Oryctolagus cuniculus: one gene and its partner. Each later gene encodes a partner of the first gene's protein in a complex. Links are inferred from orthologs where the notes say so. Each region holds a gene or a part of one and is shown on either strand. Other genes may lie near its edges.

Evidence for each region.
Region 2: the proteins of KIF13B (region 1) and ADAP1 are in contact, whole or in part, in a crystal structure (PDB 3MDB), measured with the Homo sapiens proteins. The link is inferred for Oryctolagus cuniculus from reciprocal best matches to the Homo sapiens genes KIF13B and ADAP1. Residues at the interface, in NP_056069.2 of Homo sapiens: Val451, Asn452, Leu453, Asn454, Ala455, Asp456, Pro457, Leu463, Arg512, Phe514, Asn516, Gly517, Arg531, Leu533, Asn536, Asn537, Phe539; in NP_006860.2 of Homo sapiens: Trp137, Asn143, Gly144, Gln145, Phe146, Leu147, Pro186, Ala187, Lys188, Ile189, Gly190, His191, Pro192, His193, Tyr211, Glu213.

Annotation. Positions count from the first base shown.
Region 1 is NC_091433.1:44,892,432-44,896,235, reverse strand, and holds part of KIF13B (kinesin-like protein KIF13B), read right to left. Parts: coding exon 3,757-3,804; intron 2,075-3,756; coding exon 1,925-2,074; intron 1,038-1,924; coding exon 909-1,037; intron 1-908. UniProt on the Homo sapiens protein: Involved in reorganization of the cortical cytoskeleton. Regulates axon formation by promoting the formation of extra axons. May be functionally important for the intracellular trafficking of MAGUKs and associated protein complexes.
Region 2 is NC_091450.1:36,357,269-36,361,072, forward strand, and holds part of ADAP1 (arf-GAP with dual PH domain-containing protein 1), read right to left. Parts: intron 3,782-3,804; exon of another isoform or gene 3,708-3,781; coding exon 3,595-3,707; intron 3,313-3,594; coding exon 3,166-3,312; intron 2,030-3,165; coding exon 1,946-2,029; intron 1,853-1,945; coding exon 1,790-1,852; intron 1,540-1,789; coding exon 1,468-1,539; intron 1,373-1,467; coding exon 1,144-1,372; intron 961-1,143; coding exon 932-960; 3' UTR 1-931. UniProt on the Homo sapiens protein: GTPase-activating protein for the ADP ribosylation factor family. Binds phosphatidylinositol 3,4,5-trisphosphate (PtdInsP3) and inositol 1,3,4,5-tetrakisphosphate (InsP4). Regulates the incorporation of CD63 and CD9 into multivesicular bodies.

The DNA of each region.
Region 1 (3,804 bases):
AGTCTTTTTTTTACAAGAGAGGGAGCTGAGTTTAGGCTTTCTTTCCTTGGCCCTTTAATGGCCTCCTTCTAACTTCCGCAATTTTTCCCCGTGTCCCTGGTTGACTTCTTACCCTCAAAACCCTTTTTAATGGTTTCCACAGGAATTCTCAACTAGTGGCAGTGCTGTCCACAGGGGATATTTGGAAATGTAGATTTTTGCACTGCCACAATTAGTGGGGAGTGCCAGAAATGCCATGGCCTCCCTAGCAATCACCCATGAAAACCTACAGCAGCTACAGAGTTCTTCCCGAAATCTTCCTCAAAGCCTGCTATCTGAAGTCACGACATCTGGTCCCCAGCTCTACACACAGTGCTAGGATCTCGGGTACATCTGTTTGCCTCTGGTATCTGAGAGCTCACGGGAAACACACATTTCACAACTGGAATGCATGGCAACAGCAGAACTAAAGGGTCTGGCATCGGGCCATGTGGGAACAACACAGGGAACACCGTAAGAAAAGGTATTTGTGTGGTGAAGCCATGAGGAGTGACGAATGGGAGTGGCTTAGGAACAGGGTGAGTGCTGGGATAAACCACCAGCTTCAGGAGGAACTAAGAGCGCCCAAGATGAAGAGGAAAGTGGTGTGAGAATCTGGGTTTCTCTACAGAGAAATGTGAATCAACAGACCCACATTACAGAAGGGGTGACTTGTCCACAGCGTCTGAGTCATGGACTTGAAGCCACCACACCACTGTTTCAGGATCCATGGACAAAACATGGTTTCTAGAAAATTAAAGATGTGTTTACAAATACTTTCAAACTCCAGGTAAGAACTCAATAAATATTTATATTTATATATACATTGAATATATATATATATTGAAATATATATATTTCAACTATTCCAAAATACGACTGTGACTCACCATGCACACCAGCTTGTTCTCCTGGGCCTCCTTCTCAAAGGATACATCTGTGGCCTCATCACCACCTGCAATTCTTTCCCCAATTTCACCACTGATTCGCATCACCTCTACGTGCAGCCGACCTGCCACCTAGAGCAATAGGAAAACACAGCTCTTCCAGATCTGGTTCTTTCCTTAAGATGATTTCTGCTTTAAAGTCATTATGTTAACAGTACAGTGGTCCTCTAGTTTCCAATCAACTGAACTAGAACCCAGTGGTTCCAGTTATCCAATCAACTGAGGTTCAAAAATACTAGATGGAAAATTCAAGAAACAACTTCTAAGTTTCAAACTGCATATCGTTTTAAGTTGTGTGATGACATCTTGCACCATCCTGCTCCATCCTACCCAGGATGCAAATCCCCCTTTTGTCCTACGTAACCACACCACATGTGCTACCCATCCACTAGTCACTCAGTACATATCTAGTTACCAATTCCACTGCTGTAGTATCACAGTGCTTGTGTTCAAGGAGCCCTTCTTTTATTTAACAATGGCTCCAAAGCACCAGAGTACTGAGGCTGGCAATTCAGATATGCTAAAGAGAAGCCACAAAGTGCTTCAAAAGGTGAAAGCAAACAACATGTTTTGAGAGAGACCACATTCACTTAACTTTTAATATATTGTTACACTATTTTATTAGTTCTCATTGTTAATCTCTTACAATGCCAAATTTACATATTAAACTGAATCGTAAGGTATGCATATTTATGTAGGGTTCAGTGAGTGCCAACTGCAATTTCAGGCATCCATTATGGGTCATGGAACCTGCTTCCCAAGGATAAAGAGGGACAACTGAAAGAATTTAGAAACCTAATGGTTACTCTCTCCTCAAAGCCCTATGGAAATACAAGGTACGAATAATACACTTCGCATATCATTTGCCATTACTGAAACAATGTAACAACATACCATAAGCACCCTATTGTTTCTTGAACTGTTCCCTGCAGAAAACAAGGTCTGAAGAGAAAACCCACCTCTCCTTTCTGGTTGACAATTGGCACAGCATATTGTAACTTCACATCATAAAAAAGGGACTCTAGGAAAACATTGGCCACCCCGATGAGGCTGTGATTTTCCTGCTCATCATAGAATGGATCAGCACGCTTGAAGTAAGAGCGTATTACCTGTAGAGATTAGGAACATACAACTTTAGAAGAGTCACTTAAAGTAAAGGAATGCAAGCTGTTGCTTTTGGACACACTCCAGTTTTAGTCAGCAGACGTCACTTTCATCACTAGACCTTAACTCAGATTCTCAGATTTGTTTGAGAGTCAGAAGCTCGGAGAGACAGGAAAAGACACAGAGAGACAATTTCCACCCACTGGTTTACTCCCTAACTGGCCACAAGCCAGGAGTTGCATCCAGTTCTCCCACAGGCATGGCAGCAGAAGTGGAGCAGCTGGGACTCAAACTGGTGACCATGAGACATTGGCATCACAGGCAGTGGCTTAACCCACCACGCCACAATGCCAGCCCCAACTCTTGTAGTGTTTAGAGTAAATCAACTTATAGCTAAAGTACAGCACTGGAGCCAGCACTGTGGCACAGAGGACAAAGCCAGCTGCTCCACTTCCAATCCAGATCCCTGCTGATGGCCTGGGATAAGCAGCAGAAGATGGCCCAAGTGTTTAGGCCCCTGCCACCTATGGGAGACCTAGATAAAGCTCCTGGCCTGTTACAGTCACCTGGGGAGAGAATCAGTGGATGGAAGATCTCTGTCTCTTCCTCTAACTCTGGCTTTCAAAGTAAGTAAATAAATCTAACAACAATAATACTAGAGAACAGCACCGTATTCTTCATTTGCATGGGCACACACACACTTCCTCATTCCCACTCAGGAAGGTGGTCAGCATTCTTCACCCACTCAAGGGCAGTCCCAATGACGTGTGACCAATTTATCACTACTCCTTTATGTGGAAATCTTGCCGCAAAAACAGTGAGGCAGATATTGGCTAGAAAAAAAAAGCAGAGTGGACCACACTTCCTTTGAGGGAAGAGGGCCCTTTCATGTCTGTCCCATTTCCTGCTACCCAATCATTAGACACACTCCTGCTGCCGCAAATGAGGGGTGACCCTGGGGGAGAGTGGATGCTTCTCTGCATTTGTTATGGCTGTTTTGTTTATAAGCTGAAACGGCAGAGGAATACAGAAGAGAACAAAAAACATTTTAAGCAAAAACGTCACCTATCAGAAGTCATCGTCATTGATGGTCATCTGGAAAAACACACCTTCTTATGAACCAAGAAGCTAGTCAACATGTATGCAGAAACAGACCAGCAGTACTCAAAGCACATTCCTATTTGAAATATGCCAAGTACACGGCTGACCTAAATGACATACTGCAATGTGAGAAAACAATACCAGCATACAGATCGATGGCACCTACTTTAAGATCAAACTCCTTCAAAAACTGATCCCAACAGTGAAAATCTTAAGGTTAACACTGGTGTTCAATTTTAAAAACGCACGCTGTAGGTTTATCATTTGTAAGATTCAATGTGCTGAGAAGCAGGGAAAATGTCCTTTCACAGAACACACGCACACACGCACACACGCGCGTGCGCACCAGCAGAGGGCAGCATGAAAAGCAGACACTTCTGCTAGAACTACAGACCAGAAACAAGGAGAGCAGTGCCAGAAAACCAGTTACTAAAGGTCTTAATTTGCCAAATAATCTAAAGAATTTAAATAAATTTCACTGTAGAAGCAGGACTACCACTTGGAAAAATGAACTCTCTGCCCTTGGAGTGAGTGGGCTTGTTCCTCCTCTGAGTGCCAGCTCAGGAATTTTTCTAAAGTAACTTACAGGAGTATCTTCTTCACATTCCTTCCACTCCTGGTAAAGGTCTCGCAT
Region 2 (3,804 bases), on another chromosome or scaffold:
GCGCGTGCGCCCGGCCCCGGCGGCCAGGGTCCTGGGGTGGGGGAGCGAGGGCCCGGGGCCACCCATGGCTGCGGCCGCACAGAGCCGGCCCTTCCTGCCCCCACACCTCGGGACGCCGCGAGACCTCCGACACGCGTGATGTCCTGGGTCCAGACCGGGGTTCCCCACCAGCACAGCCACATCCTGGGCTTCGTATCACGCTTGTCCACGTCCTCCCACGCACTGCCCCCACGCGGGGCTGCCCGTGTGTGCACTCGACACACCTGGGGCCCAGTCTGGCCTGGGCGGTAGTGGACGTGGCACGAGGGGCGGGGCGGGGGCGCAGCTCCCCCCCAGTCGTGCCAGGCAGGGCTGAGAGGGGTCCACCCCGGTCACCTGCAGGGGTGCTCTGTGCAGCTGGGGCACAGGGCGCGCACACCGCGGCCCCCACCGTTGGCCCACCAGCAGCAAGCAGGGAGGGGTGAGCTGGGTGCGGGGCCAGCAGTGAGGGTGGGCGGGCGGGCGGGCACCGGCCATCATCAGCACCAAGTGTCTGGCACGCAGGCCACTGGGTCCCCACAGGCGAGGGCTGGGCAACCCGTCTGCCAAGCCAGGGGCCCGGGGGGTGGGGGCCTCCAGCCAGCAGAGGGTCCCCAGGACCGGGGCTGGGTCAGTGTGGGGACCAGGGCCAACGGCCCAGGCTCCAGGACCACAGCAGGTGCACAATAAATACTTGAGGGGGGGGCGGGGCAGGGGAGGGGCAGAGTCCCAGTGCCAGGCCCACGGGGCCCTGCTCCAAGCCAGGGGTCGCCTGGGCAGTCTGCTCGTGATGCGGCCCAGACCCTACCTGGCCGGGCTCCCTGCGTCCACAGCCCCTCCCTGGTCCAGCCTCCAGCTCCTCAGCCACGTCAGCCACGTGAGTCTGTGGTCCCCAGGTGGGCGGTGCTGCGCGCTAGGGCTTATGCTTGAAGTGGGCTTCCACTAGAAACAGAACGGGCATTGGCCTGGTCCCAGCCACACGGGCAGGGGTGCCCCGCGGGCCTGGCCACACCCCCACCCCACGGACCCCACAGGCCTGGCCACGCCCCCACCCCACGGACCCCACAGGCCTGGCCACGCCCCCACCCCACGGACCCCGCAGGCCTGGCCACGCCCCCGCCTCACCTGCATACTCCTGGGGCAGCATGGGCCTGTCCACCACCTTCTGGAAGGCCTGCACCCACTCCCGCTGGTCCGCCTCCGTCTCACAGGTGAACAGGAACTTGCGGTCGGGCGTGACGATGGTGATGCCATGCGGCCAGTGGTGGCCCTGGGTGGCCGGCGGGAGCCCCCCCAGCACCGTGTAGCCGCTCTCCTTGCTGCCGATGAAGACCTCCCCACGGGCGAAGGCGTCCTGTGGGCGGAGCCAGAGGACAGGGCTGGGCTCGAGCCTGCTTCCCGCCCCCACCCACCTGCCAGGCGCCCCCCCCCCCCGGCCCAGCCCCTCACCAGGGGGTCTTTGAAGTACATGAGCCGGCGGTCGTCCATGGTGAACCAGCGTTTCCGGAAGCCCTCGGTTTGCTGCGGGTCAGGGGCGGTCATGAGGGGGCGGCGCGGCCCAGCCCAGCCCTGCCCTACACACCCTCGGCCCTGCACACCCCCAGCTCGGCCCTGCCCTGCCCTGCCCTGCCCTGTGCACCCCCGGCACTGCATACCCCGGCCCGGCCCTGCCCTGTGCACCCCCAGCCTGGCCCTGCCCTAGCCCAGCCCTGCCCGGCCCTGCCCTGTGCACCCCCGGCAGGGGCTCCCGGGGCCGCCGGCCTGCACCCACCTTGGGCCCCGTCTTCTCCATGTAGCCTTCCTTCAGGTAGTTCCTGGAGAGCTTCGGCACCAGCTAGGACATGAGGGCGGTGAGGGCGGGGCCGGGCCACCCCCCCCCCCGCGCGCCCCCCCCGCCCCGGCCCGCCACACGCCCCCGCCCACTCACGTCTGCGTCGCTGGCCCCGGGGAAGGCCACCTGCAGGTAGTGGAAGCGGGCGGCCCGCAGCGCATTGAACCAGTCCACAATCTCCTAGGGGCCGAGAGCAGGCGCACGGTGGGCTCGGGCGAACGAGGGGGCCGCGGGTGGGGCCCGGGCAGGGGCGCACATGGCCAGGACGTGCCCACCGGGCTGAGGCCAGGAGGCCGCCTGGTTCTCGGGGGCCAGGCCACATGGAGCGAGGCTGTGGCCCAGGGCTGCCCGGGCCCCTCTGGACCCCACCTCTCATCTCCCAGGGCCACACCACGGACCATGACACCCAGCCAGCACTAGGTGGTCCCAACCTGAGGGCCCGGCCAGCCCACCTCTCCTCATCGGCCTCGGCCGCAGGCCCTAGGCGGCCGCCTGCCACACCACCCACCCAGGGGAGAGCAGGTGCCCACCGCCTCCTCCGGACCCTCCAGCCACAGGAAGTCCCCTCCCACCCCTGGCTGCAGGTTGGCTCGGCACTGGGCCACCCAGATGGAGGAGGGAGACCGCACGGCCCGGAGCACCAGGTCCTCCCGGAGTGGGCCTGGGACGGGTGACGGCAGCGTCGCACCGAGGCCGTCTCTGGGCCCTGGCCAGGCCCAGCTCCCCCACACCGGGAGCCAGCTGAGCAGAGACAAGGAAGCTTGGGGGACCCTGAGCCTCGAGAGCTCGCAGAAGCCACGCCGCCGACGGGCACGAGCCCGGGGGACGTCCCCGAGAGCAGAGCGGGAGAGAGGGGAGCCACGGGCCGTGGCCTCTGCCCGAGGAGGGGCTCCCAGGAAGGCCAGGGCGGCGAGGGGCAGGGCTGGGTGCCGCTGTCCAGGGACAGCCTCGGCCGCTCCCGGCGCCCACCCTCCCGCCCGCGGCCTCGGCCCCTCCCGGTGCCCGCCCTCCCGCCCGCGGCCTCGGCTGCTCCCGCCCGGGGCCTCGGCCCCTCCCGGTGCCCGCCCTCCCGCCCGCGGCCTCGGCTGCTCCCGCCCAGGGCCTCGGCCGCTCCCGGCGCCCACCCTCCCGCCCGCGGCCTCGGCCCCTCCCGGTGTCCGCCCTCCCGCCCGCGGCCTCGGCTGCTCCCGCCCAGGGCCTCGGCCGCTCCCGGCGCCCACCCTCCCGCCCGCGGCCTCGGCCCCTCCCGGTGTCCGCCCTCCCGCCCGCGGCCTCGGCTGCTCCCGCCCGGGGCCTCGGCCCCTCCCGGCGCCCACCTTGCCGTCGTCGTGGTACAGGAAGATGTTGCGGGTGCTGTTGTCCTTCAGGTAGGTGAGCTGCAGGCCGTGCGGGTGGCCGATCTTGGCCGGTTGGAAGGTGGCGTTCAGGTGCTCGATCTTCATGACGGCCTTGGGCTCCTTGGCCTGGGGGGGAGGGCAAGGCTGAGGCCGGCGGGGTGGGCACAAGGGGCTGGCGCTCCTCACCGACACCCCCCGGGGTCCCCAGGGCCCCCGATGCGCACTGGCTCGGGGGTCCTGGCTGGCTCTGCTGAGGGGGTGTGGCCACGAGGCCCCCGTGGGCTCTGCACGGCCATAAGGCCGAGGGCAGGCACCCAGGCCGCCACTGCCCGCCCACGATCCGTGGCCCCCAACCCCGTGGGGCGGCCCGACCTTCACACAAGACCCATGCGTGTGTCCCCTGCTCACGTCATTCTTGTTGAAGTACTTCAGGGCCCCCTCCCGCTCCGTCAGCACAAACTTCCGGCTCAGGAACTGCCCGTTGTCCCGGCCGCGTTTCCACAGGAAGCCCTCGCGGTACCCTGGAGGGGCGCACAGACCGAGAGACGCGCTGTGGCCCACGGCAAAGTCCCGCCCACACCCAGGTCCGACCACCGTGAGTGACAGCACCTGGGCGGG